2 linked regions of the Rattus norvegicus genome follow. The protein of the gene in region 1 interacts with the protein of each later gene in a pairwise test. Links are inferred from orthologs where the notes say so. Each region holds a gene or a part of one and is shown in the gene's direction. Other genes may lie near its edges.

Region 1 (3,595 bases):
CCAGCCAAAGGCCAGCCTTGTCAGCCATCTCGATGGATGAACAGGAACAGGCAGCCCTTCACCTCAGCTTCATCTTCCTCCCTCACCTCCATCCCCTCCCCCACCTCCATCCCCTCCCTCACCTCCATCCCCTCCCCCACCTCCATCCCCTCCCTCACCTCCATCCCCTCCCTCACCTCCATCCCCTCCCTCACCTCCATCCCCTCCCCCACCTCCATCCCCTCCCTCACTTCCCTCCAATTCTATTGCTAGTCTCTTCCCTTTACCAGCTATTATGGCTTGACTTTGGGATGTCCTCCCAGGCTCGTGGCTTGAGAGCGTGTTCCAGGTGACAGTGATATGTTAGATGGTTGTAGAACCTTTAGGTCTATGACCTAATCAGCAGAAATTGATGACTGGAGGCAGGTCTTGAAGGCAATATTTGCTTTGGGTTCTGGCCTGAGTTCTCTGCTCTCTGCTCTGACAAGATGTCAGGAAGCCATACAGCACCCCGTACCCCTGCCACTGGACTGAGATGTCTGAGCTCCCATGATTTCCTGTCATGGTGCATCCTCAGAAACTGGAGCCAAAGTATCACCCACACATATACCCTAAGTTGCTTCTCATGGGCATTCTATCACAAGGAAATGATACTAGCGTCCTTAGGAGTACTGACATTAAAGGCAGATAGTGTCAGCGAGACTGGTTTGTGTTATACGTGTACATGTTCTTTTACTCCTTTCACTGGACTCTGGATTTGTCAACCCAGATCTTAAAAGATAAAAAAGATGCGAAGATCCGGGAGCTTGAAGCCAGAGTGAGTGACCTGGAACTGGAGAAGGTGAAGCTGGTGAATGCAGGCTCCGAGCGTCTCCGAGCAGTGAAGGACATCAGACAGGAGAGAGATCAGTTGTTAAATGAGGTGAAGACTAGTAGGACTGAACTGAACAACCTCTCAGGTATGGCACCTCAGTTCACTCTGTCCTAAATACTGTGAGGTCCCACATGGCTGCCCACACACTTACAAAAGAAGAGTATCTGGTCTCACACCACAAATACAGATGCCACACTGCTCCAGTCATGTGATCTGCACTGCACTTCTCACAGTTGTCTGAGGGGCTTGCATCTTGATGCCTGCTAACCATTACCTGTGTTCAGTCCTCAGTTCCAAAGAGTAGAGGTCTCCTGAGGAGTCGTCTTTACAGCTTTACGGTTAGGGAAATGGGAACCTTGCAGCCTTCTAAAGGTTTAATAAACTGACACATATAAATAGAATTATGCAAAACCACTGAGAGGAGAAATCCATGTGACGAGGACTTGAACAGAGGCAGTGGCAGCAAGAATGGGAGAAGAGCAAAGTCTTGAGACTCCTTTGGGCAGTGTGGTAGTGCACACCTCTAAACCCAGCAATGGAGAGGCAGAGGCAGTGGGCCTCTGAGTTCAAGACCAGCCTTTCCTACACAGTGAGTTCCAGAAGGGCCAGAGTTATATAGTGAGGCCCTTTCTCAAAACAACAACAACAACCACAACCACAAACCACACACACTTACCCCCAACACACACACACACACACACACACACACACACACACACAAAGAATAATTGGGAAGGTTGCAGCAGTAGAATTAGTGACTGGCACATATGTGCTGGGTTTTTTAAGCTTGGGATTAGGAAACAATAACAGCAATAACTAAAAAGGGACCTTCTAGAGAAGAGGCGGCTTGAGAGCAAAGGGTAAGACACGAGGCAGCGCGAGGACATGTGCAGCTGGACCTGTGTCTGTAACTCTATCGTAGCCAAGGGTGATGCATGACAAGGACAGCCAGGAGTCTTTGGCTGTGAATTGAGCTTGAGACCAGCCTGACTGCGTGAGACTTTGGCTTCCCCTCAAATATCTCTATCCTATTCTTATGTAAATAGCACGTACAGCAGATGAGGGACAGTACATAAACCTCTGAACCCTCCACTCACACACGCACTGCACTGGGGCACCCCATCCTCACCACTTCTGTTCTACTCTGCCTGGTGCCCTCTTCCACCTCCCTCCCGACTTGGCGTCTGTCCTCTCACTATTACTTCTATAGCCACTGATTCCACTCAGTGTTGTGTAAGTACGCATGCGCAGCCTGCAACAGCCCTGCAGAGCCAAACAGAAAAGGAAGTCTTCCCCAGTGGCCATCAACTACCAGACGGTTCCTCAGCTATGAGTGGGCTCTTGGGAGGCTCTCCCTTCATTAATGCTGGAATGTTGACTGTGTCCCAGGTGTTTCCATAGTTACTGAGGTAGATAGATAGATAGATAGATAGGTAGATAGATAGATAGATAGATAGATAGATAGATAGATAGAGGTATAACTTGGTAGTAAAATACTTGCCTGCATAGCCAAGGTCTTGGTTTCAATATATAGTACATTAGGATGGCAAATTGACTTGGAAGTCAATTTAAAAAAACAGATTTTGAAAAGACATGTGAAACCTTTTAGTTATTTACAGTAGTCGTGAAGATGGGGGTCATCCAAGAAGAAGGCATAAGATAAAAAGACATAAATCCAGGCATGGTCAATTATGGCCTTAATCCTAACACTTAGGAGGCGAGGCATGTGCTTCTCTGTGGTTTTCAAGCCAGCCTAGGCTGGAACTACAAAGAAACTCCAAGTCCAGCCAGGGCTACATCATTAGTGAGACCCTGTCTCAAAATCAGTCAGTCAATCAATAAATAAAAGACTGAAAAAAAAAAACCCCAAGAAGATGGACAGTTGTGAGCTAATTACGAAGACTGGGAGAGAGAAGCCCTAGAATAAGGTGGGCGAGAGGGAGGCGGGTGAAAAGTGAGTACAGCAGATCCCGGCGCTGTGTGTACAGCTCATGTCGGTAGTGAGTGAGGTTGTCTCAGCCTCTAAGGTGCCACCATCACTAAGTACAGACATTGTCGCTGTGTTATACAGAGGACTATGAAGTCCTAAAGAGGAACTTCCGAAACAAAAGTGAAGAGATGGAGAGCACTACAAACAGGCTGAAGATGCAGCTCAAGTCGGCGCAGTCAGAACTGGAGCAAACAAGGAACACGCTCAAGACCATGGAAGGATCCGATGGCCACGGTACGCCCTGCTTCAGTCCCTTGGTTTTTAAACCCATGGCCTAGATGGTTTCACAGTCCTGAATGTACTGCCTAGAACCTCCTCACAGTGCAGGTGACCTGAGAAATACATGCCCAAGCGTGCGTGCTGGGTGGCACGAATGAGCGTTTCTATGGTTTAAGGGAGATTGAGAAGGGCTTGAGCCCTTACCTCATCTGAAGACATCACTTTTTCTTTCTATGGCTATCTTAGTAATTTCTAACAAATCCCACTGTTTCCCCTTACTTTTCAAGATAGAAATACAAGCCACTGATTATTTTCATTAACCCTCATATTTTTTACAGGTACAGTGTCTATATAACCTGTAACTAAATGGCTGATTGGCAACTCTTGACTTTTCTGTGATAAAAGTGAGATGAGATTTGGTAATAGGACCTCTAGACAAGGTGTCTTTATCTCTCAGCAGTTGACACCTTTCTGCTCAGGGCTGTGCTGACCCATGCAGTGCTTGTGAGTGCTGGTAAGGGTTGTCAGTGACA
Region 2 (4,342 bases), on another chromosome or scaffold:
AACAAATACCACATATGGGATTCATTCATTGGTTTGGTCCTTGGCAAAGCCCAGGGCCAACAGGGGCTTACATTGCTGCAGTATGTCTCTAAGGGCCTCCTAAAGTCAGGAACTGGGAATCTAAGCTCAGTCTGACACCAAATGGGTCGCAGCAGCCTCTGCTTGCATGTAGTGTCCTTTGAGGGCAACCAGGAAGTGCCTGCATTCCAGAGCCAGGGTCTGCTAGAGACCAGGCCGTGTGTGTGCGCGCGCGCGCCTCTGTATGTCTCTGTGTGTGTGTGTCTGTCTGTGTGTGTCTGTGTGTGAGACTGGGTGGTGCCTGGCCAGCCACAACACACACTCTGCCTTAGCCAAGCCAGAGCAAGACCTGGCTCCTGTGGTCTTCGGGGGAGGTGTGGGGACAGCAGCAAGCCTGGGCCTCGCCCCAGGCACAGATGGTTCTCATTGCTCGCCCCTGCTCTTTCCTAGGAAAACAAACCAGCTCCGGCTGAAGCCCAGTTTTATCTTGTGTTTGTTTTTGTTGCCATTCTCTTTGCCTGAAGCCACTGTACTGTGGGCTGCGTCTGCAGGGTCTGTCTGGGGTGACCTTGGCATGGTGTCCATCTTTAGGCCAGGGGCCAGGGTGCAGGAAAACTGCCAAGGGCATTGCCAATCTCTGCACCCTGACTCGTCCCTGTCCCACTGAAGGTAACAGCTACTTCCTCAAGAACATTTGGACAGGGCTGGAGAGGACAGGAGGGACCTAGGTGAGTCCCAGTTGGGCTGGCTGTCCAGATGGTGCCCTGTGGGTGCTGGGAGTTGGCTGGGGCGAAGTCTCCTAGGCTACTCAAGTATGGGTGAAGAAAAATCGCTCCGGGGTTCAGATCCTCAGGATCCTGGGAGCACTCAGAGGAGGGCAGACAGGTGAATGAGCACCGCCAGTCTCCCACAGGGGCCCCTGGTGTTCTTCCAGTATATTTTCCAAACGCTTGCATTTCACAGGTAGTGACAACATGAAGACTGGTGGTGAAAGCCCTAGCAAGGTAGAGACTTGCCCAGGGCCGGACAGCATCCTCCCACACTTACTCCATCCAGGAAGACCTGGATTCTCTTTAGCCCCGGGTGCATCTGCATGGCCTGTACCCTACAAGAGGTGACAGGAAAGGAACAGGATGTGTGTGTGACAGCAAAGTCGTGTGTGTGTGTGTGTGTGTGTGTGTGTATGTGTGTGTAAGAAAAGGAGGACAGCACCTCGGCACTAAACTCCAGGGGCTTAGCAGGTCTTCCCCCAAATAAAAGGAAGCACAGTATTGTCCAGACTAGAGCAGGGCTCTCCTTGCACTGGACCTCAAAGGCAGAGCCCCGCCCACCCCGCTGTAGGCGGGACCGCCGCAGTGGTGGCCGGTGGGCGCTTGCCCCTCCCCAACCTCCCTCCGCCTGGCGGCGGTGACATCACAGCTCTGGCGGGAGGGGCGGCGGCACCCCAGCACATCACTTCCTCGGCGTCTCGCGCGGACGCGCGGACAGGCGGACGGACGCGCGGACAGGCGGGCAGATCGGCAGTCGGACGGCCGCAGCGCGGGGCGGTGCTCCTGCTCGGCGCGTCCCCGACTCATGGCGAGCCCGGCCCCGCCCGCGGCCGAGGAGCTCCCGGGCCCAGCCGCCAGGCGCCTCTACTCCAGGTAGTTCGAGGACCGGGATGGGGACGGGGACCTAAACGGCGGACGCGGGCGGGAGGCTGCCGGCCCAGAACAAAGGCTGCAGCGGCGACGCGCAACGTGGCCGGGGACGCGCCTCCCTGGATCTGCGTAGGGAGCGGTGGGGGCGCGGGGCCCTAAGATCGGCCCCGCGGCAGAGGGGCTGGGGCTGGGTTCTGCCTGCAACCGTGTCCGGGTGCCAGAAGGGCTTACGGGGCGGGCACTCCACCACTCGGCTCTGCGGGACTCTGAGTAGCATGGATGTCAGTCTTCGTTATTTGGAGTTCTCTTCTCTAGCCCGATACTGCTACGATCCGGTGCTGGTGTAGCATGGCCATGACCCAAGCTGTCATGATGGGGCCCTGCCTTCACTAGCTATCCCCAGCCCTAGGCTAGAAGGAGCTGGGCCTGAGCCAGGCAGGTGGGTGTGTGCCTCCCTACAAAGGCATCTGCCTTCCAGGCAGGTTCACAGGTGATCCAGCGGTCTGCGTTGTGTGCCCACGCCCACTGGGAATGACGGGATAGCCCTGTCCCTGGCTCCATGCCTCCCTGGTGACTCCTGCCTGATGAGGGTGTTCCCCAGTGTGATGCTGGTCGCAGAAGTGGACCAGTGCTGTCAGTTCACTCTGGCCTCAGGCTGAGCTGGAAGGGCCTGAGTGCTGGGTAGTTGTCATCAGCCCCAAAGGAAGGCCCAGCGCTTCTGACTCCCACCTCTTCTAACCTTCCCCAATCTACCCCAGGTGAGGTGGTTCATCGGCTAGCCAAGCACTGCCTAGTACCCCCCAAAGAGCAAAATGAGGGCTTGGTGCCTGATGAACAGAGCCCTTGCCCTCCTGTTCTACTCTACTGTAGCGCAGAGACAGTGTTCCCATTGTGTGATGTTGAAGATCACGCCTGGCCTCACACTGTCTCCCAGTTCTGGTGCCGGGGTCAGAGGTTTGCTAGCAGCTTCTTCCTGGAGTCCCCTGAGAACAAAGGCTGTGTGGGGTCGAATTTACCTCAGGACCAGTCACTTGTGAGAAGGAGGTGTCTACTAGGCAGATTGCAGCGTGTGTGGTGTGTGTGTGTGTGTGTGTGTGTGTGTGTGTGTGAGAGAGAGAGAGAGAGAGAGAGAGAGAGAGAGAGAGAGAGAGAGAGAGAGAGGTGGACATTCAGAACACCGGTCTCCAAGCTCTGTCAGTTGCTCCAAGTTCCCCCTTGAGGTGACTCACTAGGCAGAGTGCTGGCCCCTGTGTAGCCCTCACTGGTTAGGAACTGTATTCAGGATGCTGGTTGAGGCCCTGTGCTCAGCCTGGCATCCCTCCAAGCTGAAACCCAAGCTGAGCTCAGAGGGTTGAGCTAGGACCAGATTTAAGTTGAGCAGCCAAGAGGCTTCCCACAGGGCCTTCCAGGAGGCCCATGAGCTATTTGGCCTCCACCTATTGGGTCCCAGCCAGGTCCCGGACAGCCAGTTCCCTGGCTTCGTTAGGCTTGGCAGATGTGAAGTACCTGAAGCATTTTGACGCAGGTATTAGGGTTCAGAGATGAAAAGTCTGCACCGTCAAGCCCAGCAACCTGTGGCCACTGGGACTGAAGAAGAAATCCAAGCATGTGCTGTCCCCTTGTGAACCTGTGTGTGCATGGAAGCTTGCCTGCTGCCATGGGAGAATTGTGGCGGCCTAGGTGTGTGGGGGGCCAAGCGGAACTGCATCCATTTGATCTAAGAATGCCTGTGGTGTTTCTGGGCTGACACGGGATGTCTTGGCGGGAGCCGTTCTCTGCGTCACCCATCGTCCGCGAGCATTCCCATTCCTCCTGGCGTCTGACTGAGAGGGTTTGATATGTATCAAATGGGTCTGGGAAGCTGAGAAGAGCCACAGATTTGTCCCTGAACTACCAGCTCCTCATAGAGTGCAGAGAGGGGCTGGCTCAGGAAGGCAGGAACACTGGGAGGGATGGGGTAGAGTGGAGAGGGTCTCTATGGGGAATCCCCGGTCCACTGGCACCGGGGCCAGAACAGGGGCTTGGGGACAAGTAGCTGGGAAGTCCTTACAATGTCCTCTTCTGGCCCTCCCAGCCCCACGAGGAAGAGGCTAAGTCCTGAGTGAAGCTGGGAAGGGAGGGTTAGCAGGAAACCCATCTGGAGTGGCCTTACAAAAGGTGCACCTCAGGTCGGGGCTACTGGTGCCCAGGCATGGCAAGGCCTCTGCAGCCACATGACCAAACAATGCTGGTCCCCTACCTAACTATCTCTTTCTGTGTCCTCTCCTCAGCACTGTCCCAGACAGGACCAGTTCCCCAGGTATCCCTGCAAACTTGACCTTATTTAGGCTCTGAAGCTGTTATCCTCTCCTTTCCAGCAGCTTCTACTGCCTACCCTCCCTCTACCCCTCCCCCACTCTTTCTGTGTGTGTCCCCCTTCCCCTGCCTGCTGAGGGAATGTCGGTATAACTTCTTCCTATGAGATGCTGGACAGTAGGGGGCTGGAACAGCTGTGAGCAAGGGTCTCTCAAGCCTTTGGCCAGAGGCCAGTGCCAGGTGACTGCTCTGCAGAGAAGGAGGCAGGCAGAGATTCAGGGTGCTAGACATGGAGTGCTAAGGAGCCAGCTCGTGTGGGTCCCAGAGGACACCAAGAGTCGTAAGGGAACACACAGTGAGATCAGGAGGCTATGAGCAGAATGTGGCTG

The links. The genes of interacting proteins can lie anywhere in the genome.
Region 2: the proteins of Ccdc158 (region 1) and Gpsm1 interact in a two-hybrid assay, tested with the Homo sapiens proteins (2 studies listed by BioGRID and IntAct). The link is inferred for Rattus norvegicus from reciprocal best matches to the Homo sapiens genes CCDC158 and GPSM1.

What each region holds. Positions count from the first base shown.
Region 1 is NC_086032.1:15,722,953-15,726,547, forward strand, and holds part of Ccdc158 (coiled-coil domain-containing protein 158), read left to right. Parts: intron 1-266; exon of another isoform or gene 267-748; coding exon 749-938; intron 939-2,924; coding exon 2,925-3,077; intron 3,078-3,595.
Region 2 is NC_086021.1:29,537,478-29,541,819, forward strand, and holds the start of Gpsm1 (G-protein-signaling modulator 1), read left to right. Parts: upstream 1-1,475; 5' UTR 1,476-1,593; coding exon 1,594-1,661; intron 1,662-4,342. UniProt on the Homo sapiens protein: Guanine nucleotide dissociation inhibitor (GDI) which functions as a receptor-independent activator of heterotrimeric G-protein signaling.